7 linked regions of the Macaca fascicularis genome follow. The main gene of each other region encodes a partner of the protein of the gene in region 7 in a complex. Links are inferred from orthologs where the notes say so. Each region holds a gene or a part of one and is shown on either strand. Other genes may lie near its edges. The genes, in order: GTF2F2, TAF1A, UBTF, POLR1H, GTF2A1, TAF1C and POLR2L.

The links.
Region 1: POLR2L (region 7) and GTF2F2 share a complex: the UniProt entries of both Homo sapiens proteins name them as parts of the TBP-based Pol II pre-initiation complex. The link is inferred for Macaca fascicularis from reciprocal best matches to the Homo sapiens genes POLR2L and GTF2F2.
Region 2: POLR2L (region 7) and TAF1A share a complex: the UniProt entries of both Homo sapiens proteins name them as parts of the pol I pre-initiation complex. The link is inferred for Macaca fascicularis from reciprocal best matches to the Homo sapiens genes POLR2L and TAF1A.
Region 3: POLR2L (region 7) and UBTF share a complex: the UniProt entries of both Homo sapiens proteins name them as parts of the pol I pre-initiation complex. The link is inferred for Macaca fascicularis from reciprocal best matches to the Homo sapiens genes POLR2L and UBTF.
Region 4: POLR2L (region 7) and POLR1H share a complex: the UniProt entries of both Homo sapiens proteins name them as parts of the pol I pre-initiation complex. The link is inferred for Macaca fascicularis from reciprocal best matches to the Homo sapiens genes POLR2L and POLR1H.
Region 5: POLR2L (region 7) and GTF2A1 share a complex: the UniProt entries of both Homo sapiens proteins name them as parts of the TBP-based Pol II pre-initiation complex. The link is inferred for Macaca fascicularis from reciprocal best matches to the Homo sapiens genes POLR2L and GTF2A1.
Region 6: POLR2L (region 7) and TAF1C share a complex: the UniProt entries of both Homo sapiens proteins name them as parts of the pol I pre-initiation complex. The link is inferred for Macaca fascicularis from reciprocal best matches to the Homo sapiens genes POLR2L and TAF1C.

What each region holds. Positions count from the first base shown.
Region 1 is NC_088391.1:24,397,115-24,400,614, forward strand, and holds part of GTF2F2 (general transcription factor IIF subunit 2), read left to right. Parts: intron 1-764; coding exon 765-909; intron 910-3,500. UniProt on the Homo sapiens protein: TFIIF is a general transcription initiation factor that binds to RNA polymerase II and helps to recruit it to the initiation complex in collaboration with TFIIB.
Region 2 is NC_088375.1:80,560,663-80,564,162, reverse strand, and holds part of TAF1A (TATA box-binding protein-associated factor RNA polymerase I subunit A), read left to right. Parts: intron 1-2,134; coding exon 2,135-2,265; intron 2,266-3,125; coding exon 3,126-3,284; intron 3,285-3,500. UniProt on the Homo sapiens protein: Component of the transcription factor SL1/TIF-IB complex, which is involved in the assembly of the PIC (pre-initiation complex) during RNA polymerase I-dependent transcription.
Region 3 is NC_088390.1:65,276,762-65,280,863, reverse strand, and holds the start of UBTF (nucleolar transcription factor 1), read left to right. Parts: upstream 1-1,302; 5' UTR 1,303-1,729; intron 1,730-2,081; exon of another isoform or gene 2,082-2,196; intron 2,197-3,017; exon of another isoform or gene 3,018-3,075; intron 3,076-3,440; exon of another isoform or gene 3,441-3,771; intron 3,772-3,834; exon of another isoform or gene 3,835-3,975; intron 3,976-4,102. UniProt on the Homo sapiens protein: Recognizes the ribosomal RNA gene promoter and activates transcription mediated by RNA polymerase I (Pol I) through cooperative interactions with the transcription factor SL1/TIF-IB complex.
Region 4 is NC_088378.1:142,602,755-142,606,893, reverse strand, and holds the start of POLR1H (DNA-directed RNA polymerase I subunit RPA12), read left to right. Parts: upstream 1-1,339; 5' UTR 1,340-1,366; exon of another isoform or gene 1,367-1,375; intron 1,376-1,491; 5' UTR 1,492-1,501; coding exon 1,502-1,646; intron 1,647-1,892; coding exon 1,893-1,993; intron 1,994-2,200; coding exon 2,201-2,310; intron 2,311-4,139. UniProt on the Homo sapiens protein: Core component of RNA polymerase I (Pol I), a DNA-dependent RNA polymerase which synthesizes ribosomal RNA precursors using the four ribonucleoside triphosphates as substrates. Can mediate Pol I proofreading of the nascent RNA transcript.
Region 5 is NC_088381.1:149,184,862-149,188,361, reverse strand, and holds part of GTF2A1 (transcription initiation factor IIA subunit 1), read left to right. Parts: intron 1-1,586; coding exon 1,587-1,688; intron 1,689-3,500. UniProt on the Homo sapiens protein: TFIIA is a component of the transcription machinery of RNA polymerase II and plays an important role in transcriptional activation. TFIIA in a complex with TBP mediates transcriptional activity.
Region 6 is NC_088394.1:80,059,321-80,062,550, reverse strand, and holds part of TAF1C (TATA box-binding protein-associated factor RNA polymerase I subunit C), read left to right. Parts: intron 1-214; coding exon 215-296; intron 297-485; coding exon 486-583; intron 584-659; coding exon 660-749; intron 750-843; coding exon 844-917; intron 918-1,551; coding exon 1,552-1,790; intron 1,791-1,931; coding exon 1,932-2,048; intron 2,049-2,131; coding exon 2,132-2,249; intron 2,250-2,332; coding exon 2,333-2,404; intron 2,405-2,543; coding exon 2,544-2,679; intron 2,680-2,820; coding exon 2,821-2,964; exon of another isoform or gene 2,965-3,057; coding exon of another isoform or gene 3,058-3,143; intron 3,144-3,230. UniProt on the Homo sapiens protein: Component of the transcription factor SL1/TIF-IB complex, which is involved in the assembly of the PIC (pre-initiation complex) during RNA polymerase I-dependent transcription.
Region 7 is NC_088388.1:742,499-746,718, reverse strand, and holds POLR2L (DNA-directed RNA polymerases I, II, and III subunit RPABC5), read left to right. Parts: upstream 1-1,428; 5' UTR 1,429-1,449; coding exon 1,450-1,544; intron 1,545-3,443; coding exon 3,444-3,552; 3' UTR 3,553-3,720; downstream 3,721-4,220. UniProt on the Homo sapiens protein: DNA-dependent RNA polymerase catalyzes the transcription of DNA into RNA using the four ribonucleoside triphosphates as substrates.

The sequences.
Region 1 (3,500 bases), on a different chromosome or scaffold from region 7:
ATGGTAGATTAGCCCCATTGTTCTTTTTGTTTTTGTTTTTTATTTTCTTACTAGTTGTAGTAATTTTTATTTTATTTCGGGGGTACATGTGTAGGTTTGTTACATAGGTATATTGCATGATGCTGAGATTTGGGCTGATATTTATCCTGTCACCCAGATAGTGAACATGGTAACCAATAGGTAGTTTTTTAACTCTTGGTCTCTTCTCTCTTTTTGGAGTCCCTAATGTCTATTGTTCCCATCTTTAGGTCCATGTCTACCCAATGTTTAGCTCCCACTTGTAAGTGAGAACATGTGGTATTTGGCTTTCTGTTTCTGCACTAATTCACATAGGATAATGGCTTCCAGCTGCATCATTGCTGCAAAGGATGTGATTTTGTTATTTTTTTATTAGCCCCATTATTCTGACAAACGGGAATAGATTGTCTTTCTCTCTTTTGATTTTTTTAAGAGACAGGGTTTTGCTGTGTTGCCAAGGTTGGAGTGCAATGGCTTTTCATAGTGAACTACAGCCTGGAACTCCTGGCCCAAGGAATCTTCTTACCTCAGCCTCCCAAGTAGCGGGGATTATAGGTGTGCACCAGTGTGTCCAGTTTACATTCTCTTTTTGTGAGCAAGTATTAAGGAGTTTTTAATAAAGTTAAAGTGTTTAATGAAATGACTGGAAAACACATTTAAAAACAATTTGATTTATAACTAAAATTTTTTTATATGTAGTTTGAATACAAAAGTCTGTTATAATCTCTGGTTAATGTGTCTATTAGGTGTCATTTACTTTGAATGAGGACCTTGCAAATATTCATGATATTGGTGGAAAACCGGCTTCAGTCAGTGCTCCTAGAGAACACCCATTTGTCTTGCAAAGTGTTGGAGGACAGACATTAACAGTGTTTACTGAGAGCTCATCAGGTAAGTGGGAATGGAATTATTTAATGTGATTCCTGTACTTGTTGTATAGATTTTCTGTCTCAACATACACTCCTGTTTGCTTTTTTTTTTTTTTTTTGCGATGGCGTTTCGCTCTCGTTGCCCAGGCTGGAGTGCAGTGGCACAATCTCAGCTCACTGCAACCTCCACCTCCCAGGTTCAAGCGATTCTCCTGCCTCGGCCCCCCGAGTAGCTGGGATTGCAGGCATGCACCACCATGCCCGACTAATTTTGTATTTTTGGTAGAGACGAGGTTTCTCCATGTTGGTCAGGCTGGTCTCAAACTCCTGACCTCAGGTGATCCGCCTGCCTCTGCCTCCCAAAGTGCTGGGATTACAGGCGTGGGCCACCGCACCCGGCCTCCTGTTTGCTTTTTTAAGGTCATTACCAAGACTGTTCCACCTCTCATTTTGTGTACCTCTGTTATTCATACTATGCTACTTCTCTGCTCTGTGTACTTTCTTGTGATTAATGAAATTTTGGCCATTACTTGAGAAGGGTTTAATTTCTATTTGGGATATGAAGATATAGAACAAAGCAGATGGAAGAATGTGGTTCATCAAGCTGCCTTCTCAGATGTTGAAGAAACAGTATTCTGAATTTTGCCAAGATAAGGTCATCGTTGCTTGTTTTAGTAAATTGATATTTAGCAAGTATAAGTTGTACTTTAAAAATACAGCTCGATATTAGGGAATATTTTAGTCTGAATTTTTCATCTTGTATGCTTTGTATACCAAGGGGACCTTTTTATTGCACAGAGATAACTTTTAATTGATATTGGCTTCTAAGAAGTTTCTGTGTAGAGTTTTAAGATTGTATGTGTTTGCAATGAGATATTTTAACAGTTCAATAAATCAGAAGCAAATGTTTCCATTTGTGAATTAAATACAGAAGGAACTTTCTTGTGGCACACACTCAGCATGAGTATATTTTCCATGTTTTGGGATTTTTATCTTTCACTGAGTTTAGAATACTATTAAAGCAACAGGCCACCTTAGTTTAATGGAGCTAATTTTCTGCTATCTGGTTCAAAAAGCTTATTGATAAAAGAAAACATTTGTGATTTTGTTGTATTTCATCAAACATTTCAAAGGAAGCTGTAAGAAATTATAGTATGTTAAGAACACCATTGGTTAAAAAAAGGTACATCCTCATAAATTTTTTTGTGGTGTCTTCGATTACCAATAGCTACATAAAATGATCTAAAAATTATTCTTTTTTTCTTGGATGTACAGTATAACAAAATGGTAAATTATAATTCTTCAGTTATGTAGTTGAAGGTAGAAGATTGGTTTCACTGCAGTTTTCTGATGCTCTAATAATTAATAGTTTAGTAGTATGGGAGGCAGAAAAGTAACAGTTTCTTCAATACATCCATTTTATACTGGAGAAGATTCAACCTTTCAACAAATATTTATTGCATGCTGCATAGTTCAGGGCATAGTATAGACCTATCAAAAAATCTGAAATTTGTCTGAAATTAAAAGCGCATTTGAATTCAGTATGTTAAAGAGTTTTAGTTTTGGCGGGGCGCGGTGGCTCGTGCCTGTAATCCCAGCACTTCAGGAGGCCGAAGTGGGCAGATCACCTAAGGCCGGGAGTCCGAGACCAGCTGGGCCAACATGGTGAAACCCTGTCTCTATTAAATAAAAAATTGGCCAGGCGTGGTGGCGGGTGCCTGTAATCCCAGCTACTCAGGAAGCTGAGGCAGGAGAATCGCTTGAACCCAGGAGGTGGAAGTAGAAGTGAGCCGAGATTGCACCACCGTACTCCAACCTGGGTGATGGAGGGAGACTCAATCTCAAAAAAAAAAAAAAAGAGTTAAGGAGTTTTAGTTTCAACAACTCTATTCCTTTTGATTGATGAGATTTAATAAGATCCATTGAACCTGTGAGGTTTTCTCTACTTTTGTGATTGTCCTAGAGTGGAAGAGGCATGGCACCAAGATAGTAAAAAGGAGACATCGCCTTGATAAAAGTTTGAGGTAGGGAAACTTGAACTTTTTTTTGTAGAAAAAAGTACCCTATTACAGATTTTTTACATCTTATTAAGTGACTAATTTTTTGAAAACATGATTTATTTCTGGTGCTTCTACAAAGACAGTGATTTAGAAAGCTAACATTTGTTAGCCTCAAAATTAGTCTTCCATTTTACATTTTAAAAATACTTTAGTGTTGTGCTCTTTTTGAACATTTCATGTTCACATTTCTGGCTACAGTGTACTCTGAAGGGAACGTGGTTTTATGAGGATTATCTTGGCAGGGATATGGAAAAGAATTAAGATTGTCATCCTTATTCTGGGGCTTGGACGGTATGTTCTTGCTTTGCACAACTGTGATAATACAAATGCAGTTCTAAGTTGCTATTAGTTATAATACACTGTAACAATATTTTACTTCTTAACCTCATTATTTCTGTTTCAAGTCATTGTTCCTTGATTCTCTTTGCACCTTTCTGTGCCTTAATTTTCTCATTTATGAAATGAGGATAATTTGTTGACATATAAAAATATGAATACATTTAAACACTTAGAACAATGCTCAGTATATAATGGATGCTCAAATATTAGCTGC
Region 2 (3,500 bases), on a different chromosome or scaffold from region 7:
GGCCTTTGATTTATTTTGAGTTAATTTTTATGAAGTGGGTAGGGGCCCAACTTCATTATTTTGTATGTGGATATCCAGTTGTTGTAGCATTTATTGAAAAGTCTATTATTTTCCCACTGAATTGTCTTGGCACCCTTATTGAAAATTAGTTAGCAGCTGGGAGTAGTGGCCATGCCTGTAATCCTAGCACTTTGGGAGGCCAAGACAGGTAGATTGCATGAGCCCTCAGGAGTTTGAAACCAGCCTGGGCAACATGGTGAAACTGCATTTCTACAAAAAATACAAAAATAGCTGAGTGTGGTGGCATGTGCCTGTAGTCCTGGCTACTTGGGTGACTGAGGTGAGAGGTTTACTTGAGCCCAGGAGGTAGCGTGAGACTGCAGTGAGCTGAAATCATGCCACTGCAGTCCAGCCTGGGAGACAGTGAGGCCCTGTCTTAAACATACACAAAAGAAAATTAGTTACCTATAAATGTGGAGGTTTATTTCTGGACTCTGAATCTTCCATTCATCTACATATGTCTCTCCTTGTACCCATATCATACAGTCGTGATTACTACAGCTTCTTAGTAAATTTTTTTTTTTTTTTCTGAGACCAAGTCTTATTATGTCGCCCACGCTGGAGTGCAGTGGCATGATCTCAGCTCACTGCAATCTGTGTCTTCCAGGTTCAAGCGATTCTTGTGCCTCAGCCTCCCAAGTAGATGGGACTACAGGCGTGCGCCACCATGCCCAGCTAATTTTTTTGTATTTTTAGTAGAGACAGGGTTTCACCATGTTGGTCAGGCTGGTCTCGAACTCCTGACCTCAGGTGATCCACCCACATCGGCCTCCCAAAGTGCTGGGATTATAGCCATGAGCCACCATGTCTGGCCGTAATCATAGAGTACATTCCCCAACTCTGTCTTTTTTGTTCTTCTTTGGTTCCTTGCATTTTCATATGAATTATAGAATCAGCCTCTCAACTTATGCAAAAAGGCCAACTGAGTTTTTGGTAAGAATTACATGTATCTGTAGATCAATTTGACAATAGTAAGTCTTTCAACTGAACATAGAGTGTCGTTTCATTCATTTAGGTCTTTAAAAATTTTTTTCAACAGTATCACTTTTCAGAGTAAAATTTTGCATCTCTTTTGTAAAATTTATACCCATTTTGTTACTTTTGATGCTTTTGCAAATGGCATTGTTTTCCTAATTTTATCTTCTGATTGTTCATTGGAAGTGTATAGACACAGTTGATTATTGTGTATCGATCTTGTACTCTGCAACCTTTGTGAACTCATTTATTAGTTCAGTAAATTTTTAGTGGATTCTTAGGATTTTTCTATGTACAAGATCATGTCATCTACAAATAGAGATAGTTTTACTTCTTCCTTTCCAATCTTGGATATCTTTTTGTTATGTTCTTACTTAATTGTCCTGGCTAGAACCACCAATATAATGAACAAAAGTAGTGAGAAAAGACTTATTGTCTTATTCCTGATTTTAGGGGGAAAGCATGCAATCTTTTATCATTCAGTTCAGTGTTAGCTATGAGTTTTTCATAGATGCCCTTTATCAGATTGAGGAAGTTCCTTCTATTCCTACATTGTTGAGTGTTTTTGTCATGAAGGGTTATTGTGTTTTTTCAGATGCTTTGTCTGCATCTATTGTGATTATCTTGTGGTTTTGGTCCTGTATTCTTTTGATTTGGTTTAGATCAATAGATCTCTATTTTATTATTTGCATTAATTGATTTTCAGATGTTAAGCCAACCTTGCATTCCTAGTATAGATCCCACTTGGACATGATGTATAATGCTTTTTATATGTTGCTGGACTCAGTTTGCTAATATTTTGTTAAATATTTTTGCAGCTATATTCATAAGAGACACTGATCTGTAGTTTTATTGTGTTGTCTTTGTTTGGTTTTGGTATCATGGTAATACTGGCTTAGAATAAGTTAGGAAGTATTCTCTTCTGTCCTTTTTTGGGAGAATTTGTGAAGAATTAGTATTTTCCTTTAAATATTTGTTGAAATTTACCGTTGTAGCTATCAGGAGCTGAGTTTTTCTCGCGGGTAGCTTTTTAAATTACTACTTTAATAGAAGTCCTCAATATTTAATGAATGTTAAAAAACCTTTTATCTTTGGGCAGATAAGGATGATTATGCTTACAACGCAGTAGCCCAGGATGTGTTCAACCACAGCTGGAAGACATCTGCAAATATTTCTGCATTGATTAAAATTCCTGGAGTTTGGGACCCTTTTGTGAAGAGTTATGTAGAAGTAAGTAGAATTTTCATAAAATGTATTGGTTTTATTTTGTCAAAAGCCTTTACAAAGACTCCATGCCTAATCTTTATTGATCAGAAAGAAACTAATGGAAAAAATTATTTAAAAGGAAACAAAAATATTATGTCTCGTTTTTGGTCTGAATTTGTTTATTTTCACCACTGTATAACCCATCATGGCCAAGTATCTATAAAATAAATAGCAGTATAGTTGTAAATGTTAATTCAATCTTATTCTTGTTGAGTTTAAAAGAAACACAGTAAGATATTTTATGATTTGGTGGGATATAGAAGGAAACAGGACAAAAATCTGAAAAAGTGGGTCATAATATATGAGATAAAGAATGATGACTTTTTGGAAGTTCGTAAGAATGTCCTGTCATCCCAGAGTCGTCGTAAAAGGACTGAGGGCCTTGGTGCTAGGCACTAGGAATAATAAATAATTTGCTTTGTGAAAGTTATTGAGTGGCGAATTGATAATTGTGTTGTCAGAAGATAATCTCCAAAATCATAACCTGGAAATTCCTGTGTAAGGATGGGAACAGAATGAAAGCAACTACAATTCTTGTGCACTCCTTTTGTGGCTGCAGTGATGTAGGGCACTGAGGTTAGTTGCATCACATTTTCAAGCATTAGTGTTCCCTGCTTTGAGGACTCTTATTTTTTATAGGAAGAGAATTTATGTTGAGGTGGCTGCATTTTTTATTAGTGGTAACAAAATATAGGGAAAAAATGGGAACCCTGTCAGTTTTGTGATTTTTAAAAAATACCCATCAGTAAACTTATGCTGTGTATTATCTTTCGTACAGCTGTCTTACAGAATTCAGCTAAGGTATTATGATTTATTTTATATAGATGCTGGAATTCTATGGGGATCGAGATGGAGCCCAAGAGGTACTCACTAATTATGCATATGATGAAAAGTTTCCATCAAATCCAAATGCCCATATCTACTTATACAACTTTCTAAAGAGACAGAAGGCACCAAGATCAAAAATGATAAGTGTGCTTAAGGTATAGAATTTTTATCTCAATGTTTGAACAGGGTTGGGAATCTACATTAAAACATTCTTAGGCCATTGCTTTCTAACTTTTATAGCATCCACAGAAAATGACAATAATGTACAGTACACTGAGATAAACAGAAAGTTCGCTCCAGCTGCCATCTCCATGTATGTATCATTCACACTATCCCCTGCTGCCTGGGTGAGACTGAGGAGAGAGGATCAG
Region 3 (4,102 bases), on a different chromosome or scaffold from region 7:
AGGGGCCTAGAAGCTGAAATTAATCTACGAGTGGTAAATCCGCCTCTCCTATATGCCAGTGCCCCCAAAAACAAACAAACAAACAAACAAAAACAGGACACACCAGATCTTGACAGGGCTTCCTCCCTGTTTGTGAAACGTGACAGAAGTGGGATCTGGAAGTCCTGGGAAAACAATCTCATTTCTCCCAGGAGACAAGAGGAATTACAGCAGCAAAGAGGCAGGCCGAGTGGAGGAGAAGGCTGCATGCCAGGGGAGAGTCGAAAGGGGCTGGGTGATCCAGCTGGCCGAGATGCGGGAAGTAGAGCCTCGGTGTGGGAGACTGGCAGCCTGAGAGCCAGGAGCAATGGCGCTGCCCCAGAAGCGGTGGCTGGAGGCTGGGCCTGCTGGAAGCAGGCTTCCTTCAGATGGTCTTCTGGCTCCCTGCGTCCTGTCCTGATAACCTTTCCTCTGAAAAGGGGAGGCAAAGACAGACAACCACAGCCATGGTAGTGGGAGGGTGGGTGGTGGACCCCGTCCAGGCCTTTCATCCCCGGCCTGCAGTTTAGTGAACCGGGAGACGTCTCGTCGGAGGCTGCTCCGCTGCCGCCCGGAGCAGCGAGAACCGGGTGCTGGGCTCCCCTCGCGGCTGCCCGCCGCCGCCGGGGGGCAGCGCCTGCGGCCTGCTTTCCCAGGGCCGGCCGAGGCTTTTTGACAAGCTGATTGCGTGGCGGGGATTGGCTGGTCCGGGCGTGACGCCGGTAACAACAAAGGTGGAGTTGGAAGAAATTAGATTAAAGGAGAGAAAAAAAATTAAAGGGGGAGCTGGCAAAAGACAGGAGGTATAGACCGAGGGGGAGATGCGCCAAGTGGTGTCTCCCGGTTCCGACTCCCCCCGCCGCCTCGACCCCAGAAGATCCCTCGCGCAAACCCACTGGGATTTTGCTCTTTCCCCTACCCCCGCCCAGTGACCGACGCCGGGGTAGGAAGGATAGCCGCTTCTTCTTGAAAAATCCCCGCAACTCCCACCCTGACACCCCTCACTACGACCCAGGGGGAGAACTTTTTGCTCGGACTCCTCGGATCCTAAACCCAGCGAAGAGGGGGACATTGATAAGCTCGTCCTTTTAAAACCCGGAAGGCCCTCGCGGAGCATGGAGATCGGATAAGGCGGGGTGCTCCCTCGGTTTTCCGATGTGTTGCAAATCTAAGAGCTTCTTTCTCGCTTTTTTTTTTTTTCCCCTGTAACTACCCCCCCTCCCTTTTGCTTCAGGGTTGCAAAAGCAAAGAGCAATAAAAAAAAAAAAAACCGCGCACACACTCAGACACACACCAGTGGCGACAGGGGAGAGTTGGAAAGACGCAGGAGAGAAGCAGGAGGCAGGAGGCAGCGGGGATGGAGCAATGGGAGCGGGAAGCAGGCAGGTTTCCTTGCAAATCCCCCTCCGGCCTCACGCCGCCTCGCCAGCCCCGGCAGGGGAGCGAGGACCCCGGCGAACAGATGGAGGAGTGGAGCTCGCTCTAGGCAGCTGGGCTTGGCCGGAGAATGGAGGAGCCACCAAGCGACCGGCTGATTGGAAGAGAAACGCAGAGCGATGGAGGCGGGGGTAGGAGGACGATTTCTCTGCGGGGACTGGCGGCGGCGTACACGCCCGGGTCGGGCGCTGCAGAGCTTGGCTGGCTTTCAACCCGCGCTCGCCGGCTCCAGCCCCGCGCGCCCCCACCCCTAGCCCTCCCGGCGGCTCCGCAGGTGAGTGCGAGCTGCGGGCAGAAAGATCCAAAAGTCTCAACACGCCCGCCCTGCAAAAAAGGAAAAAAGAAAAAAAAGGAAGAAAACCATTTTACTTAAAAAAAAATTTTTTTTTTGTGCAACCCCTAAAGCAGTGGGAGGGAAGGGGTGAGGCTGAGCCGCCCGGAGGAGGCGGAGGGGCCAGGCGAGGCCGGGGTGGCCCGGGAGGCGGCGGCGCCGAGGCGGCTCTGACGGGCAAGCGCTCGGAGCGGCGCTGCGCTGCGCCGAGGCGGGCGGGCGGGCGGGCGGAGCGGGGCGGGCGGAGCGCGGCGCGTGGGGCTCGCCATTAGCCGTCGCTCCGCTTCGCCATCTCGGGCTTTGTCTGGCGACTCGCTGCCCCGGCGTCGGCTGCAGCGGAGCTGCGGCTCGGCTGTTCCGCCCGCCGTGCTCCCAGGTGCCCCCGGCCTGCGCTCCCATCCACACGCTCGGTAAGTGAGCCCGGGCGCCGCGGATTTCGGGGGAGAGGGGTTGCTACGAGTGGCGGCGGCACCGATCTCCATGCGCCCGGGCAGGCCTGGGAGCCATGCCGGGCTGGATTGAACCGGCTCCCACAGCGGCCCCTCCGCCGGAGCCCGTCGTTCCCTCGCCGTTTCCGGGGTGTAAAGAGCAACGGGGATTTTTTTTTAATGCAGAGATTTTCGGTTTTGGGTTTTTTTAAAGTTTCCTATGTACCGTTCGGCAATGAGAGGATCGCGAGGTAGGCGCCGAAGCTGGACGCCGCGATCGGCGTGCGTGCGCCCCAAACCAGTGGCCACGCTCCGGGGGATGAGGGTGGGCGCGGACCGCTCGCTCCGGGAGGCGGGAGAGAGCTGGCCTGGAAGCCCCAGTCTGAGCTGGGAGGACTTGGGGGAGAGCTCCGGAGCAGGGCTGTGGGCGCCCCCCAAGCCTTCCTGGCCGCCGGGGGCCCCTCCGGGCACCCTCTCCGCGGCCGCGCCTCGGCCCTCCCTCCCGCGCCGGCAAAGCCTGCTAGTTCCCCCGCGGGTCTGGCGAGGTCGCTCTCGGCGCCCGCCCGCCCGCCCGCCCCGGCTCCGAGCCCCGCCGCCATCCGGGCGGCTGCGTGTCTCCCTGCCCCGGCCCCCCCCTTCCCCGGCGGCGGCGGCGGCGGCGGCAGCAGCAGCAGCAGCAGCCGCCGCCGCCACCAGCACCACCACCACCCCCCTCCCCTCCTTCCTTCCCTCCGCCTCGGCCGCCCGGGTCCCCCCAGCTCCCGCCCCTCCTCCCAGCTGCCCCCCGCGGAGCCCGCCCGGGCAGGCTGTGGGAGGGAGCGGAGCCGGCGAGGCGGGCGGGCTGGCGCTCGCTCCCCGGGGGTCGGTGTGCGCTCTACGGGGAAGGACGCGCTCGCTGCCCCGCTTCTCCCGCCCCCCCTCCCGCTCCTCCTCCTCCCTTCTCCCTCCTCCTCCCCGCTCCGGCGGCTGAGGCTGCGGCGGCGGCGGGGGGTGTGCGAGCTGAGGCCGGGGCCGGCGGCGGGCGGGCTGCCTGCAGGCGGAGGGCGCTGTGCTTTGTGCTTTTCGCCGCGAGGAGCAGCAGGCAGCAGCCACAGCCGCCGCCGCCGCCGCCACAGCAGCAGCAGCCGCCGCCCCAGCGCCGCCGCCTCGCCCGGAGGAGGAGCCGCTGCCGCCGCGGGAGGGAGCTGCGGCTGTGCCCGGCCGAGCGGGGGAGGGCGCCGCCACTCAGAGCCGGGGAGGGAGCCGCCGGAGCGGGAAGCCCGGAGGCCGCGCTGCGCCGGGTAACCGAGGCGGCTGAGGACGCGCGCTGGGTTCGGGGCCGGACAGCAGGGAGCGAACCGCGGGTTGCGGTGGGCGCCCAGCAGGGACCCGGAGCGACCACCGAGCAGGGGACCGGGCGCGAGCAGACCAGGGCACTTGGGAGGACGCCGAGAGCCGGGGGAGGGGAAGGCAGGAAGCGAGGCCTGAGCCGAGCCACGGCCGCTGGCGGAGGAGCCCGCGCTTCTCGGATCCGGCAGGCGCAGTTCTCCCCGGCCGCCGGAGGGGGCGGCGGGGCCGGTGAGCGCTGCGCCCCCGCCTCCCGGCCGCCGTCCTCCCGCCCTCTCCTTGGCTCGGCTCCCCGGAGGCCGGGGCGGGGGCGCCGGCGGGGCTGGGCCGCAGGCTCGGGGGAGGAGGCGGCGGTTCCCGCCGCGGTCGCGCCTCTGTGCCGGGCTCCTCCGTGCGCGTCGGGGTGGCTGGGTGGTGGCGGCGCCTCTGGCCGGGGTGGGTGGCTCGGGGGCGGGGGGCAGGCTAGGCCGCTTCTCTCCGGCTGCTCGCCCGCCTGTGCGGGCGGGGACGGCGAAGGGAGCCCGGGAGGGGGGAGCGGCGGGAATCCGGATCCGGTCCCCGG
Region 4 (4,139 bases), on a different chromosome or scaffold from region 7:
ATCAGCTCAACAACACATCTCCCTTTGTCAGACAGAATAACAAGCAATTTCACAGTTAAGTGATAGGGCTTGTCACTCTTCAGCAGTTTGCTGAGTTTTAACCCTTTAACTATGGTGTTCTCTCCATTATCACAGAGAAAGGCAGATGGGAGCCTCTCCCAGCGAAAAGACTACAGCTTGTGTCCTTCACAGGACAAAATAGTGATGGCTCCAGAACTTTCATATGAAGGAACTTAGCACAGCTATCAGAGTGGGTGGTGGTGGGAGGACTAGCATGAAACTAGTAAACAACGACAAGCTGCCCCTTCAGGGAAAGTTTCTACTTCGAATATAAGTTACAGAGTAACGAAAATAGCAAGATTTCCGAAAGAAACTTATTCCCATGTTTTATAAAAGATCAGGGAAATGTCAGCTGTCCACTTAATGGATGACGAATAATGAATTAAGAGTTCGATAAGCGGCAGGCACAACTAAAAGCCAAACTCGACCTAAGTCTTATGAAATCCTACTTAATGAGCTTCTTGACTACTGCTAGCCTCACTTATCTGGCAGGAGTCGAAGGAGGGGAAGCCCCAAGCTCTTCTGTTCTACCACCTCCAAAGTCCTGAGCCCCTTCTCAAGTGTCCCACTTCATCCCTGCTTCCTTTCGTCCCGTGGGACTAAGGATTCCTCTGGCCTTCACCCTCACCACTTGCTGTCCCTCAAGAAGCCGACTCACCCCTTTCCAAGCGCGGTGAACCGTCCGCAAAGCACAGGCCGGCTGCGCTCTGCAGAAAGCCCACGCTCGCCAGCGGGACCCAAGGAACGCTAGAACTATACATGCCAGAACACTTAGCTTTGTTTTTAACTACTGTGCAGCCGCAAAAGGGAAATACCAGCTCAGGACCCAGGGGAGTTGTAGTTCTCTAATCCAAAGAAGTCATTATTCAGCAAAGTACGGTTTTCAGGAGGATATTCCCCCGCGATTGGGTTCCCGTAGGATGTGAAACAGAGAATAAATATCCCAGGATTCGGTGCTGGTGGGAAAATTTGCTGGAAGCGCAGCATTGGTTACCAATTTTGTGCTCAACGTCTCAGTACCAGCCTGAAAGTTGAGCCCCAACCTCCCTTAGAAGAGGTGACTCTCCATCTCTAAGGCTTCCGAGACACGGTTCGCAATTAATTATGACGTCACAGCCAATCGTCAGCGTGAAAGCGTGACGCTCTAGCCGGCTCTAGCTCGCTGCCCCGCCGCGGGCGCAGAGCTGGCGCTCTAGCCCACGGAGTTGGCCAGCTCCTCTCGCCGGCCCCAGGAAAGGGTTCCAAGTCCTTTTAGTACCCGACGCTGTCTGGGAGTTCCGGGCGTTTCGGCTCCTTGGTCGCAGAGGCAGGAGGCGTGCGTGGGAGGAGGACTCGGGTTATATACTCCTACGTCCTGGGACGGAATAGTTACCAACTCTGGGGCAGGAACTCTTCTCTCTTTTGTTAATAAACTTCTAACTCCCTCCTCAGACCCGACTGCATGTCTGTCATGGACCTCGCCGGTACTTGCTCCAGCTTTCAGTCGGACTTGGATTTCTGTTCAGATTGCGGCTCGGTCCTGCCTCTGCCCGGGGCTCAGGATACGGTCACCTGTACTCGCTGTGGCTTCAACATCAACGTTCGGGGTGAGAGGCTTGTACACAGGGGTCCTGGCGGAGGGCCCAGGATCGGAAGCTTGGGGAACTCAAGATAGGTTGGGTTCAGAAGGGGATCCTAGAGCAGGACATCAGGCAGTTGTACATTTGGTCCAGCGATGAAAACTGAGGGAAAGGATATAGGGCCTCCTGGCCTAACCAGCCAGGGGAGAGGGGAAGTTTCCGGTGTCAGCTCCCTCAGGTTGTCTCCATAACCAGTCTTACTTGCCTGTGCAGACTTTGAGGGGAAGGTTGTGAAGACTTCAGTTGTGTTCCACCAACTGGGGACAGCCATGCCTATGTCGGTGGAGGAAGGGCCTGAGTGCCAGGGACCTGTGGTAAGTTAATGAGATCAAGAACTGGCTCCATAAGGTGGGTAGGAAAGAAATGGAGGAGTGATTGCAGAGATCTGGAGAGTTTTGTGCCCAATTCCAAGTGGGAAAAGATGTAAAGCATCGATGTTTGAGAGGCGTGATCGCCTGGTTCCTGTGGGAAGTAAGGGTATGATATGACCAGGCCTCCATAACCCACCAGTTTCTTCCCAGGTTGACAGGCGCTGCCCTCGATGTGGTCATGAAGGAATGGCATACCACACCAGACAGATGCGTTCAGCCGATGAAGGGCAAACTGTCTTCTACACCTGTACCAACTGCAAGTGGGTATCCTTTCCCCTCCCTTTGCTCAGTCTGTTTGCTAACTAATAAACAAATCCAGTGATTTATTTTTTTGTACTAAACGGCTGTGTCCTTTCGTCCCATCCCTTATTTCTGTGCAGTTCTGGTAAGAGGGAGATTTGTAGTTTTTATTTTTTTAAATTACACTTTTTTAACCCTTTTTGTAACCAGTGAAATAAACCTTTTAGGTTTTTGTTTTGTTTTTTTTTTTTTTTTTTAAATGGACAGGGTGTTGCTCTGTCACCTAGCCTGGAGTGCAGTGAGGCAATCTTGGCTCACTGCAACCTCCGCCTCCTGGGCTCAGGTAATCCTCCCACCTCAGCCTCCAAAATAGCTTTGGGACCACAGGCACGTGCCACCACACCTGGCTTTTTGTTTTGTTTTGTTTTTTGTATTTTTAGTAGAGATAGGGTTTCTCTCTGTTTCCCAGGCTGGTCTTGAACTCCTGAGCTCAATCAACCCACCTCAGCATCCCAAAGTGCTGGGGATTACAGGCATGAGCCACCCTGCCTGACCTTCTTTTAGGATATTTAAAAGGAAATGAAGAAAAAAAACCATAAGAAGCAAGTATTGTTTAGTGGTCAGCGTCTTATACTGCAGTCTTCAACCGCAGTCAAGGTAGCTTTACTTTGGAGAGAATTAGTCACACATGATTTAGAGAACATGGGCTTTCTGAATGCTTTTAAGACCTCATCTTTGTCTTTGGTGTTCTGCAGTCACTATAGTATATCAAAATGTGATTTTCTTTTATTCTGTTTGGGATTTGTTGGACTTTCTGAAACTGAGAGTGCATTGTTGTTTTTTGTTTTGTTTTGTTTTTTTGAGACGGAGTCTCGCTCTGTCTCCCAGGCTGGAGTCCAGTGGTGTGTTCTCGGCTCACTGCAAGCTCCGCCTCCCGGGTTCACGCCATTCTCCTGCCTCAGCCTCCTGAATAGCTGGGACTACAGGTGCCCCCCACCACGCCCGGCTAATTTTTTGTGTTTTTTAGTAGAGACGAGATTTCACTGTGTTAGCCAGGATGATCTCGATCTCCTGACCTCGTGATCCACCCGCCTCGGCCTCCCCAAGTGCTGGGATTACAGGCGTGAGCCACTACGCCCAGCCTAGAGTGGATTTTTTTTTCATCAACCTTGGAAAATTATCAGCCATCATCTCTTTTAATATTCTCTTTCCCCCATGTTCTCAGTCCTCACATTCTGGACCTCTAATTAGTTACTAGAATGAGATTTCTCTCTTCTGTCCTCCATTTCTCTCGCCCTCTTTTCATATTTTCAATCGCTTTTCTCTTTATGCCACCTTCTGAGTAATTTCTTCAGGTTCCTCTTCCATGTCACTAGTTCTGTCTTCAGTTTATTTCAAATATTATTATTTTTTACTATTGTTATTATTTTGAGTTCTATTTAATTACTTTTCAAATCTCAATTTTTAAATAATTCTCAGTTCCTTAATCATATTTTAAATTGTTCCTTTTACTAGTCTTTAAATATATAAAATATTAAATATAGTTATTATATTCTATGTCTCATAATTCTGATATCCATGGATTTTGTGTGTCTGATGCTGCTGTCTGTTTCTGCTGTCTCTCTCATAGTGCTTTTTTCTTTGTTTTGTAATTTTTGACAATAAATTTGAGTTTTTTAGAACTTGAACTGTAGGAATTCTTTGAGGCCTTGGGTAAGTGCTGTATTCTCAGCATTTGTGTTTCTTTTCTAGGTGCCTTGAAGCACTATCAAGCTGGAATTACTTTAAATAAATTCTTGGCTTCATGTTTTTTGGAGCACACAGATAGTATGAATTTGAGCTGCAAATC
Region 5 (3,500 bases), on a different chromosome or scaffold from region 7:
AGATGAACAAACTTCAAGAGGAGGATTTGGCAAAATAAAGCAGGTTAGTGAGTGAAACAGTAAAGCAAGAACCCGGATATTTGAATTGGTTTTCTTGTAATGAGAAGGACTAAATAGTTTTTAATGGTTGAGGTAAATTGTACTGACAAACTCATTTGTATTTTGTTTGTTTTCTGAGACAGGGTCTGGGCCTGTCACCCAGGCTGGAGGGCAGTGCTACAATCTTGGCTCACTGCATCCTTTCCCTTCTGGGCTCAAGCCATCCTCCCACCTCAGCCTCCCAAGTAGCGGGGACTACGGGCACGTGCCACTATTCCTGGCTAATTTTTTGTATAGCCTGAATTTCACTATGTAACCCAGACTGGTCTTGAACTCCTGAGCTCAAGCGATCCTCCCAAAATGCTGGGATTACAGGTCATTGCATCTGGCCTCATTATTTGTAGTTTTCACAAGACAAGGACACATTTTCTTAGCAGTTCCCCTGTGTCACAGTGTTGCTGATAAGAGATGGTAGTGAAACACATATTTCTGTTTGAAGTTTGCTCATGAGAACAAACACTTAGTTTTTTTTGATAGCCATTTAACTTTAAGCAAGGTGTGAAACACAAGTAATGAGAAGACATCTAAAAAGCTTGTTAACCATAACTCTCTGATAATGGGTAGGATTTATAACCTGGCAACTCTAGTTTTGTCAAGGCAGCTCTAGTTTTGTCATCTGACATGACTTCCTTTTGTCTTACAGGTTAAAAATAGGATATGGATTGAGCTAATTGTTCTATCTCCCACCTTGTAGTTTTTAAATAATTTTTATTTTTTGAAAGTTCTTTCACATCTATTCTCATTTTGCCCATTTTACCATTCAACCTTCTAGAAGCCAGCTCCTTTACTTCCCGCTCCTCCTCCAAGTAATACCAACAGTGCTAATTATAATAATAATAATAAACGTTTAGAGGGTTTATGTTCATTATAATGTTTCATAGCATTATCTGGGCAGTAGTAGAGGAGAAATTCTGGGAAGGAAATCAGTGTACCTTGTTTCTTTGGGACCTTGAGACCTGTCATTGTGGGTGTGTGAGTAGTTTAATGGTGTAGCTTGAAAGTACAGACTGGGTCACACAACAGAAGTTAGGTGATTTTTAAACCTGAATGTTCATTAGATTGTAGATTATTACCAGGCAGATGACTCCCGGACGTAAGATTCTCCAAAGTCTTAAGATTTAGTGGTGAGGTAGTAAAACATACAACAGAGTTCAAACCAAGCATGGAATAGTAGAAGCCAGACGTAAGCAACCCCTGAAGCTGTTATTGAACATTACATTAGGTATTTTGACTATAACATAGGAAATTATAATTGAAAATTGTATGGACCTTGTAGGCATAGGGACCTTCTGTTTATGAATTGCATTAATCTTAAAATTTTTATTAAAGTATGCAGTCATCAAATCCAGTTTATGGCAAATGATGGTGGTCGTATCTTTAAATTCATATGTAGTTAGTTGGCAAAATGACTATTATATTGGTTTTGAATTATACATTGTAACCTGTGAAAAACTGTCTTTATCAAGTCTGTTATTTTTCCTTTAAAGCCTAAATTATACCGATCTGTGATTGAAGATGTCATTAATGACGTGAGAGACATCTTTCTGGACGATGGCGTGGATGAACAAGTACTGATGGAACTGAAAACCGTACGTTTGTCTTCTTAAAAATATTCCTACCTTTTCACCCCAAATCATTTTCTTTAGTCAGAGATGAATCTGTAATTTTTCTGTAGGGTGAACGTATAGTTTAGTGAAGTGTGCTGGTTTTAAATCCCAACTGTACCATGCATTCTTCCTCTGACCTTAGGCAGGCTACATTTATATTTCAGTTTCTTTACATGTAAGATGGAAATTGGTAGTATTTACCTTATAGGTTTGTTTTGAGGATTAAATGGGATAACCATATAAAATCTTAGCACAATGCCTGATAGTAGCATTAGCAGTTATTATTGGATAGTTAACATTCTACATTTTAGGGTCTAATTACTTGACATGCCTGGAAGAGTTTTCTTTCTTTTTTCTTTTTTTTTTTTTTTTTTTTTGAGACAGGGTTGGGCTCTGTCGCCCAGCTGGAGTGCAGTGGCACAATCTGGACTTACTGCAACCTCCGCCTCCCAGGCTCAAACCATCCTCCCACCTCTGGGACTACAGGCACATGCCAGCATGCCTGGCTAATTTTTGTATTTTTGGTAGGGATGGTTTTCACCATGTTGTCAAGGCTGCTTTCGAACTCCTGGCTGCAAGTGATCCTCCCGCCTCGGCCTCCCAAAGTGCTAGGATTATGGACGTGAGACACAGTGCCCAGCTTTAATCTTGCCTTTTTTTAATGGTCTTAATGTGCCTGTATTCTAAGTGTGTTTTAAGTTGTAGGGAGTAAGTGCTTGATAAAAGAATTTTAGGTTCTTGAAGTAGACCCTTTATGTAGGCCAAATGTTTTAAATATATTTTACATTAAGAGCTGGTTTTCTGTATCTTGGATTTAAGCAGAAATATTTAGTTTTTTTATTGGCAGTTGTGTTTTCCTTGCAGTGTAATGACTCATGAAATTGTGGACTATTTTTGCCCTGTTGGTTAGAATAGTGGTTCTCAAGGTATATAGTTCATGGAGTCCTGGGTTCTCCCCAAGGGTTCTTTCCAGGGGTCCACAAGGTTGACTAAATGCTCAAGTCTGGAAAATCATAGTTTGCCTTCATTCTTTCAAGTAAAAGTTGTATTCTGTGAGAAAAGTGGCCAGTTAAATTCATAACTCAAGCGCACAGATGCTTTTCCTTGAGATAACTGTAAATAAGCAGCAGAAATGCTGTATGCATACTTCTCATTTCTGAATATTAAAAAGATGTGGACTCAGTGTTGATACTAAGAAATTTGATTGTTTGATATTCTGTAATGAAGTGTGTTTACATTCGAAAGATCCATATAATTCATTGAACTTGTATTTTCTGAATGTCCAATGCATAATGTTGGAAAATTCATTCAAAATGCAAGATAAATTAATGAACTTTAACAGTATGAAAAGTTCATAGTTATATGGTTTCATATTCTGCATTGTAACTAACTTGTAAGAAACTATCACTTAAAAGTACCTTTTCTTTTCCTAACTACTTAACTGTAGGAAGGCAGATTTTCTTTGTATACCTCAACCAAAACAAAGCGAAAACACAGGCAGATATGAAAATCTAGCTATTTTCCTTTAAGTCATTTGTCATTCTCACTCAATTTTATTTACTAAAATATGACTATTTTCAGAAAACTGTTATTTATGTTAACATATAATGGATCCATTATTTCTAAACAAATTAGTAAGCATTAAACATTTGTTACAATTTCTGTTACTATAAATATAGGGGGGTGTAATTCACATACAGAGAAGCTCTTTGAGGGTCTCAGTAATTTTTTAAAGTGATAAAGCATCCTGAGGTGAAAGAGTTTTAGAACTGCTGGTTTAGAAGTTGAGTATTA
Region 6 (3,230 bases), on a different chromosome or scaffold from region 7:
ACTCTGGGGTCAGGCTGCCTGGTTTACATCCCAGCTATTCTCTTTACCAGCTCTGTCATCTGGGGCAGGTGGTAGTGTGACAATGCCAGTCATCCCAACTTCGCAGGATTGTTGTGAGGATTGGATGAGTTGATAAAAGATGAATGCCTGCGCAGAGCCTGGCCCGGGGAAGGCACTCATCATGATACTGTCGTTGTGATTGACTTCCCTTCAGAACGGGGCACTGCATGTGACCAAGGACCTGCTGTGGGAGCCGGCGACCCCTGGGCCTCTCCCCATGCTGCCTTCCCTCATCGGTGAGAGTCTCATTCCTCCGGGCTCATTCCACACTGCTCCACCTATTCTTCCCGCAGCTCCCACTCCTGAGACCTTCCTCTCCCTGCTAAGCCTGTGCTCGCTCAGAGCCCTTGGATGCCTCCAGCCGCCCAAGGCATCTGGCTGCACTCCTGTGCCCTCCCCAGCCCTTTCCGTAACCTCCTCCTCAGATCCCTGGGACCCTGGCCTGACTGCCCGGGACCTGCTTTTCCGCGGAGGGTACCGGTATCGGAGGCGACCCCGAGTCGTGCTGGATGTTACTGAGCAGGTGAGTGGGCCCACGGGGGACAGTGCTGCGTAGCCTGGAGACTATGCTTAGTGACCTGGCCTCCTCCTCTCCCCAGATCAGCCGGTTCCTCTGGGATCATGGAGACGTAGCCTTTGCACCCCTGGGGAAGCTGATGCTGGAGAATTTCAAGCTGGAGGGAGCAGGGGTGAGTGGCCCATGACACCAGGGGTAGGGACTCCCTGCTGTCCTTCAGGGGTGAACTTGAGGGTGTGTGAGCTTGACGAGGCCTTTCCATGCAGAGCCGCACTAAGAAGACGACAGTGGTCAGTGTGAAGAAACTGCTCCAGGACCTCGGTGGACACCAGCCCTGGGGGCAAGTGGCTAATGAGAAAGGAGGAGATGGATAGACGTAGCTGGTGGTGGGGATATAGGAGGTGCTAGGACGCACATCCAGGTTTCTGTCATACCCACTTCCCACCTGCTCCATGCAGTCTGAGCTGTACTTTCTTATACCAGACTTCCAACTCCAAATCATCTCAGGGGAAAGCAGATTTAAATTTGTGGGCTTCAGGCATGGCTGCATCCAGGTGTTCAAATAATATTCGTAGAGCTGTGTCTCTCTTTACTCTGTCGTCCACTTGCCTCTTCCTGCACAGTTCCTAGACAGGCTGTCTGTAGGTAGCAGCAAGATGGCTTATGATCTAAGGAAAGAGCCAGTGTCCTTCCTGAGGCACCAGAAGTCCCAGAAAGGAGTTTGGTTGGCTTGGCTTGGGTCTCACACCCGTCTGTGAACCAGTCGCTGTGGCAAGGGCAATGGAATATTGTTGATGGCCAGGTCTGGGTCCCATGATTGCTTCCAGGGCATGGGAACAGGATGGGGTGGTTTCCCAAAGGAAGAAATTCTAGGTAAATAAGAAATGTGTCCACTGCACTTGGCCTCCTTGGGATGGGACCTGTCCTCCCCTGAGTGCCACTGAGTGATCCTCCTGCTGTTCTCTGGTCCCCAGGTGTCCCTGGGCTTACCTCAGCAACCGACAGCGCCGCTTCTCTATCCTTGGGGGCCCCATCCTGGGCACATCGGTGGCGAGCCACTTGGCAGAGCTGCTGCACGAGGAGCTGGTGCTGCGGTGGGAGCAGCTGCTTCTGGATGAGGCCTGCACTGGGGGTGCGCTGGCCTGGGTGCCTGGAAGGACACCCCAGTTCGGGCAGCTGGTCTACCCTGCTGGAGGCGCCCTGGACAGGCTGCGTATCCTTTCTTGTGAGACAGGCGATCCCAGCGGGCTCCCGTCTGGTGGAGGAGGTGCTCTTGGCATGGTCCAGGGAAGGGCAGGAATGTGGGGCTTGCAGTGGCCACAGCTCGTGCACTGATCCTTAGTGAGAGGCCCAGATTTTCAAGAGGTTGTTCTGAGCCCAGGTGACAGTCCCCAATTCCTTGGGAACCCTGGACGCATCCAGCTCCAGGGACCTGTCCGGCAGGTGGTGACATGCACTGTCCAGGGAGAAAGTAAGGCCCTTACACATGTTCCTCCCTCACTGGCTGACCTGCTGCCTGACCCCTGACCCCTGACCCTTTCCATCCCTCCTCAGCTCTGCTGGCCGTCCGCTCTGACTACCATTGTGCCGTGTGGAAGTTCGGTAAACAGTGGCAGCCAACCCTTCTGCAGGCAATGCAGGTGGAGAAGGGGGCCACAGGGATCAGCCTCAGGTGAGGGGGAGTCAGTCTGGTCAGTGAGGAGGGGCTGGGGGCAGGGGCGAGCAGCCTGATGTGAATGCGTTCCTGCCCTGTAGCCCTCACCTGCCCGGGGAGCTGGCCATCTGCAGCCGCTCAGGAGCCGTCTGCCTGTGGAGCCCTGAGGATGGGTATTGCCACTTCCCATGAAACCCCCCACCCTAACACACTGAACTCTGGCCCGTCACTCCCTGTTCAGCATGTCGCGACCCTTGATTCCCTTCCACATCAGCCTGTCCCCCCTACCCATGGCTTGCCCATCTCCCCAAGGCTGCAACAAGTCTACAAGGACCCCGAGACCCTTGTGTTCCGGGACTCCTCTTCCTGGCGTTGGGCAGACTTCACCGCCCACCCTCGGGTGCTGACTGTGGGTGACCGCACTGGAGTGAAGATGGTTGACACTCAGGTATGGGGTGGCGGCAGGAGATCTGCCCTGACTGCGGGAGCAGCCGCAGAGCAGTGAGTCCCAGGCTGGCTGCGGCCTGGGCGAGGATGGCGTCATGGGCCTGGGACTGTGGGGAGGGCTGACCCTGTGTTTCTCTTCCAGGGCCCGCCGGGCTGTGGTCTGTTGCTTTTTCGTGTGGGCGCAGAGGCTTCGTGCCAGAAAGGGGAGCGTGTCCTGCTCACCCAGTACCTGGGGCACTCCAGCTCTGAATGCCTGCCCCCTACTCTCCATCTCGTCTGTACCCAGGTGAGTGGTACACACCACCGCCCCGCCCCACCTCTGCTCTGTCTCAGATGGGCACTAGAGGCTGCTGCTTACCAGTGGCTCTGCTGGGCCCAGATAACCACCCAGCAAACCAGACTCAACCCTGGATGAATCTGTGGCCCCGGCACGCAGTGGATCCCACAGCCGGTGCTAACAGGCAGGTGGGGAAGCTCTCCCAGGGCCTCCCCTTGGTAAGGGCTTCAAGGTACAGCCAGGGGTGGAGCGGTGGGGGAGGAGCAGCCTCGGGG
Region 7 (4,220 bases):
CCACTGGGGAAGCTGCCCAGGGCCCTGGCCAGGTTGGGAGCAGAAATCCCAAGTGTGCAGTGGATCTGGCCAGCACCACTCTGGATCCAGAAAACCCTTCATCCTCCTCCCCTGCAACTAAGGCAGACCCAGCATTGCCCTGAGAAAGCGGCAGCTGATGCCTGGAACCCAGCACAGGTCCCACCCCAGCTGGAAGCCCCAGCCCAGAGCCCCCCCATGGGTGCCACTTTGCAGCCCACCCACCCCCCCACAGCCTACCTGGCACCTCCAAGGAGTCTTCTTTGCCTCCTACTGCACACCGACCCCCCATTTCCTCACCCCCACCCTAGGGGCACAGCAAGGAGGGTGCTGGTGCCAGCCCCCCCGCACTCCATCCGAGAGACACGGGCTCCCCCTCCCTCGTCCTCCGTAGGCCCTGAGCTCCAGGGCAAGGCAGAGCTGCGGCCTTCAGCGGGTCCTGCCAGTGCAGCCTCCGGGAGTCTGCCCAGGGGTCCCCTGTGCCGCGGTCTTCAAGGTTCAATTCAAAGAGCACCTCTTCCACGACGCCCTCCCCGACCTCCCTCCCGGGCCCCCTCTCCCCGTGCTCAGAGGCGCGTCTCAGCGTCGGGACGGCCAGCAGCCCAGCAGAGCCGGGACCGGGGAGGGCGCACCCCGACCCCCTTCCTGGGAAGGAGCGGAAAGAACGCGGACAGGAGGCCGGGGCGGGGAGCAGCCGGCGGGGGCCGTAACTGCGCGGCCGAGGCCAGGACGGCGCTCCTAGGGGCTGGGCCGCGTCCAGAATGGGACCCCCGAACTCGGCGCCGAGAGCCCCGGACACCCCGCGAGTAGAGGCGGAGGCGGAGGGACCCACTACCCGGCGGGGCCAAGAGGGGCAGCAGGAAGACCCGCCCCGGTCCGCGCCCGCCCTCTCCCCAAGCCCCCGCGCCGGACCCCACTTGTTGCTGCGTGTCGGCTCTAGGCTCGAACTCGCGCGCCCCGCTCGCGTCCGGCTCCAGCCGCTCCCGGTCGGACACCTCGGGCCGCGAGACCCTGGCCGCACGCCCCCACGACCCCCCGGGCGCTCTACCTGCGCCGCCGCCTCCCGCTCGCTTCGTCCGCTCCCTCCGCGCAGCTGTCAGTCAAGCGGACACGAGAAACGCGAACCGCCACCGCGGCTTTCGGCCCTGCTCAGACGCCGTAGCTCCGGGACGCACCAAGATGGTGGGCGGGGGTGTGTCGTCTGTTGCTGCCGCGGCCGTGCAGGCCCAGGAGCCCCGGGCCGCATGGGGAATCCCCATGGCGGCGGAAATTGCGGCCAGCTGCGCCGGGGCCAGTGTATGAACGGCTGGGGCAGCGGAGAACGAGCGGAGCCGGTCCCCCCGCGATAGTGGACGCGCCCGGGGCGGGGCCTGGGGGGAGTGCTTCCCGTGCGGCCGGACCGGGCCGGGCAGTCTGGGACGCGCCGCCGCCATGATCATTCCTGTACGGTGTTTCACTTGCGGCAAGATCGTCGGCAACAAGTGGGAGGCCTACCTGGGGCTGCTGCAGGCCGAGTACACTGAGGGGTGAGGCGCGGGCTGGGGCCGGGGCTGGGGGCTGAGTCCGCCCTGGGGTGCGGGCCGGGGCGGGAGGCGCAGCGCTGCCTGGGGCCGGCGCTCCATGAGCAGCTTCATACCCGGCCACTCCGGCCCAGCTCTGTGATCTGCTTTCGGGAGAACATTGTCCCCTGAAGTCTGGGGAGAGAGCGGAGTTGGGCTTCAAACCAGTGGTGTCCTGGGGATTCTAGGTGGCCTGGCGGGTGGCAGGCGTCTTGTCACCCGCAGTAAAGCCCTTGGTCTCCGTCCTAATCTCTCGTCTCTGCTCCCAGACCCACCCCATGTCCTGCAAACCTCGCTGCAGGACAGGCGGGCGCGGCGGCTCACGCCTGTAATCCCAGAAGTTTGGGAGGCCGAGGCGAGAGGCTTGCTTGAGCCCAGGAGGTCGAGACCAGCCTGGACAACCTGGGGAGACCCTGATCTCCAGAAATTTTTTCTTTTTTTTTTTTGGGGGGGACGGAGTCTCGCTCTGTCGCCCAGGCTGGAGTGCAGCGGCGCGATCTCGGCTCAGTGCAACCTCTGCTTCCTGGGCTCCAGGAATTCTCCCCAGTCGCCGGGACTACAGGCGTGTCCACGCCCGGCTAATTTTTGTATTTTTAGTAGAGATAGGAGTTCGCCATGTTGGCCAGGCTGGTCTCGAACTCCTGACCTCAGGTGATCCACCTGCCTCGGCCTCCTGGAGTGCTGAGATGACAGGTGTGAGCCACCGCCCCTGGCCCTCTTATCTTTTTAATTCCCCGGACTTGGTGGTGCACACCTGTGGTCCCAGCTACTTGGAAGGCTGAGGCGAGAGAATCGCTTGAGGCTGGGAGGCAGGTGAAGATTTCAGTGAGCCGAGATCACGCCACTGCACTCCAGCCTGGATGAGAGAGTGAAACTCCGTGTCACGCACACACACACACACACACAGAAAAAGAAATGCAGGGCAGACTTGCTGACCACCCTCATCATCGGGCTTTGTGGGGGAGGCATCCTTCTCCTGTGCTTGTCCCTCAGTGCTGCTGTCACCACCGTGCCTGAGTCTTGGTGCCCCTGCTGGAGTCTGACCCTTGCCTGCTGAGTCCTGGTCACATGTGAAACCCCAGGCTCGTGTGTGCCAGCCTGCCATAGGCTCTCAGTGCAGCTTGCTGGACGAATGAGTAAAGCGAGTGGGCTGCCAGAGTGAGTGGCTGGTGGCCTGTCCAGACCCTTTCCCAGGGATATGAACTGCAGGGGCCTCCCATGTGGCCTCCCCTTTCCCAAGCTTCTCTCTCTGCACATTGGAGCCATCAGTGTGGGAGTTTTCTGGAAGTATTGATGGTGACTGGACCTTGGTCCCAGGGAAATTAAAGCTTCTAATTGGCTTGGGAAATGGGAGAGGTGGCTCCCTGGAGAAGCAGTCTCTCCCTGATTGAAGGAAGCAGAGGTGAGAAAAGACGCCACAGTGGCAGAGTAGGGCTTGCTCTGGGGTGGGGGATGAACCAGCTAAGGGCAGGCCCCTGGAGAGCTACCCTGCTGTGGCTGGTGCGGGATGAGGGGAGCTGCGCATCAGGACCTCGGTGGCCTTGGTTTTCTATGCTCCCCCAATTACCTCTAGTTTTCGTTTCATTTATATTTCTTACATATGTTAGACACACATATGTACAGCCAGAGTAGGTGGGAGAGAAGGCTCCTCACGCTCCACCCAGGGATCTGGGCATTGCCAGGTTACTCCAGCCAGGATCATACCGCTAGGTCTCTACTTCTCATCCAGGTGAATGTGTTCGCCTTGCCGGTAGCAGGGGAGTGAGGCCAGCAGGCAGTGAGAGGCGGCCTGGATGTGGGCTCCAGGCCTGTGCAGACCGTGGAGAACTCAGCTGGCCTCTCTGTTCCTCCCCTCGCTTGACACAGGGATGCGCTGGACGCCCTGGGCCTGAAGCGCTACTGCTGCCGCCGGATGCTGCTGGCCCACGTGGACCTGATCGAGAAGCTGCTCAATTATGCACCCCTGGAGAAGTGACCAGGCTGGAATCCGCCTACCTGCCATGCTGACCATGGGCCATGAGCATCCTGCCCCAAGTTCACAAGGCTGAGGCATCCAGGAGCTGGCGCAATGCCTCGCCACAGCGTGTGTGTGTCCCATCCCCCACTCTGGAAGGAACAATCCAGTAAAGGTCTTTCAGAACTACCAAGGTCCCAGCCCTCACTAGGATGTCAGGGGCCAGGACTAGGCCCAGCTTTCACCGCGGCAGCCCAGGGAAGCCGACTGGGCCATGAATTCTCCTAGCCCTGGGGCCAGCCTGTTCCACAGGTACCCCTGCAGGAGGTGCTGCCAGGAGAGCCTTCCATCTCAGGGCTGAGGTTCCCTCCTTCTGGGTGCTCTTCAGACTGAGCAGAGGCTCCTGTACTCTCTCTCTTGGAATCTGAAGAGCCAGATTTAGGCCAGGCACGGTGGCTCACCCCTATAATCCCAGCACTTTGGGAGGCCAAGGCGGGTGGATCACGAGGTCAGGAGATTGAGGCCATGCTGGCTAACACGGTGAAACCCCGTCTCTACTAAACATACAAAACAAAAAAAACAGCCAGGCGAGGTGCCGGGCGCCTGTAGTCCCAGCTACTCGGGAGGCTGAGGCAGGAGAACTGCTTGAACCCGGGAGGGGGAGCTTGCAGTGAGCCGAGATTGCGCCA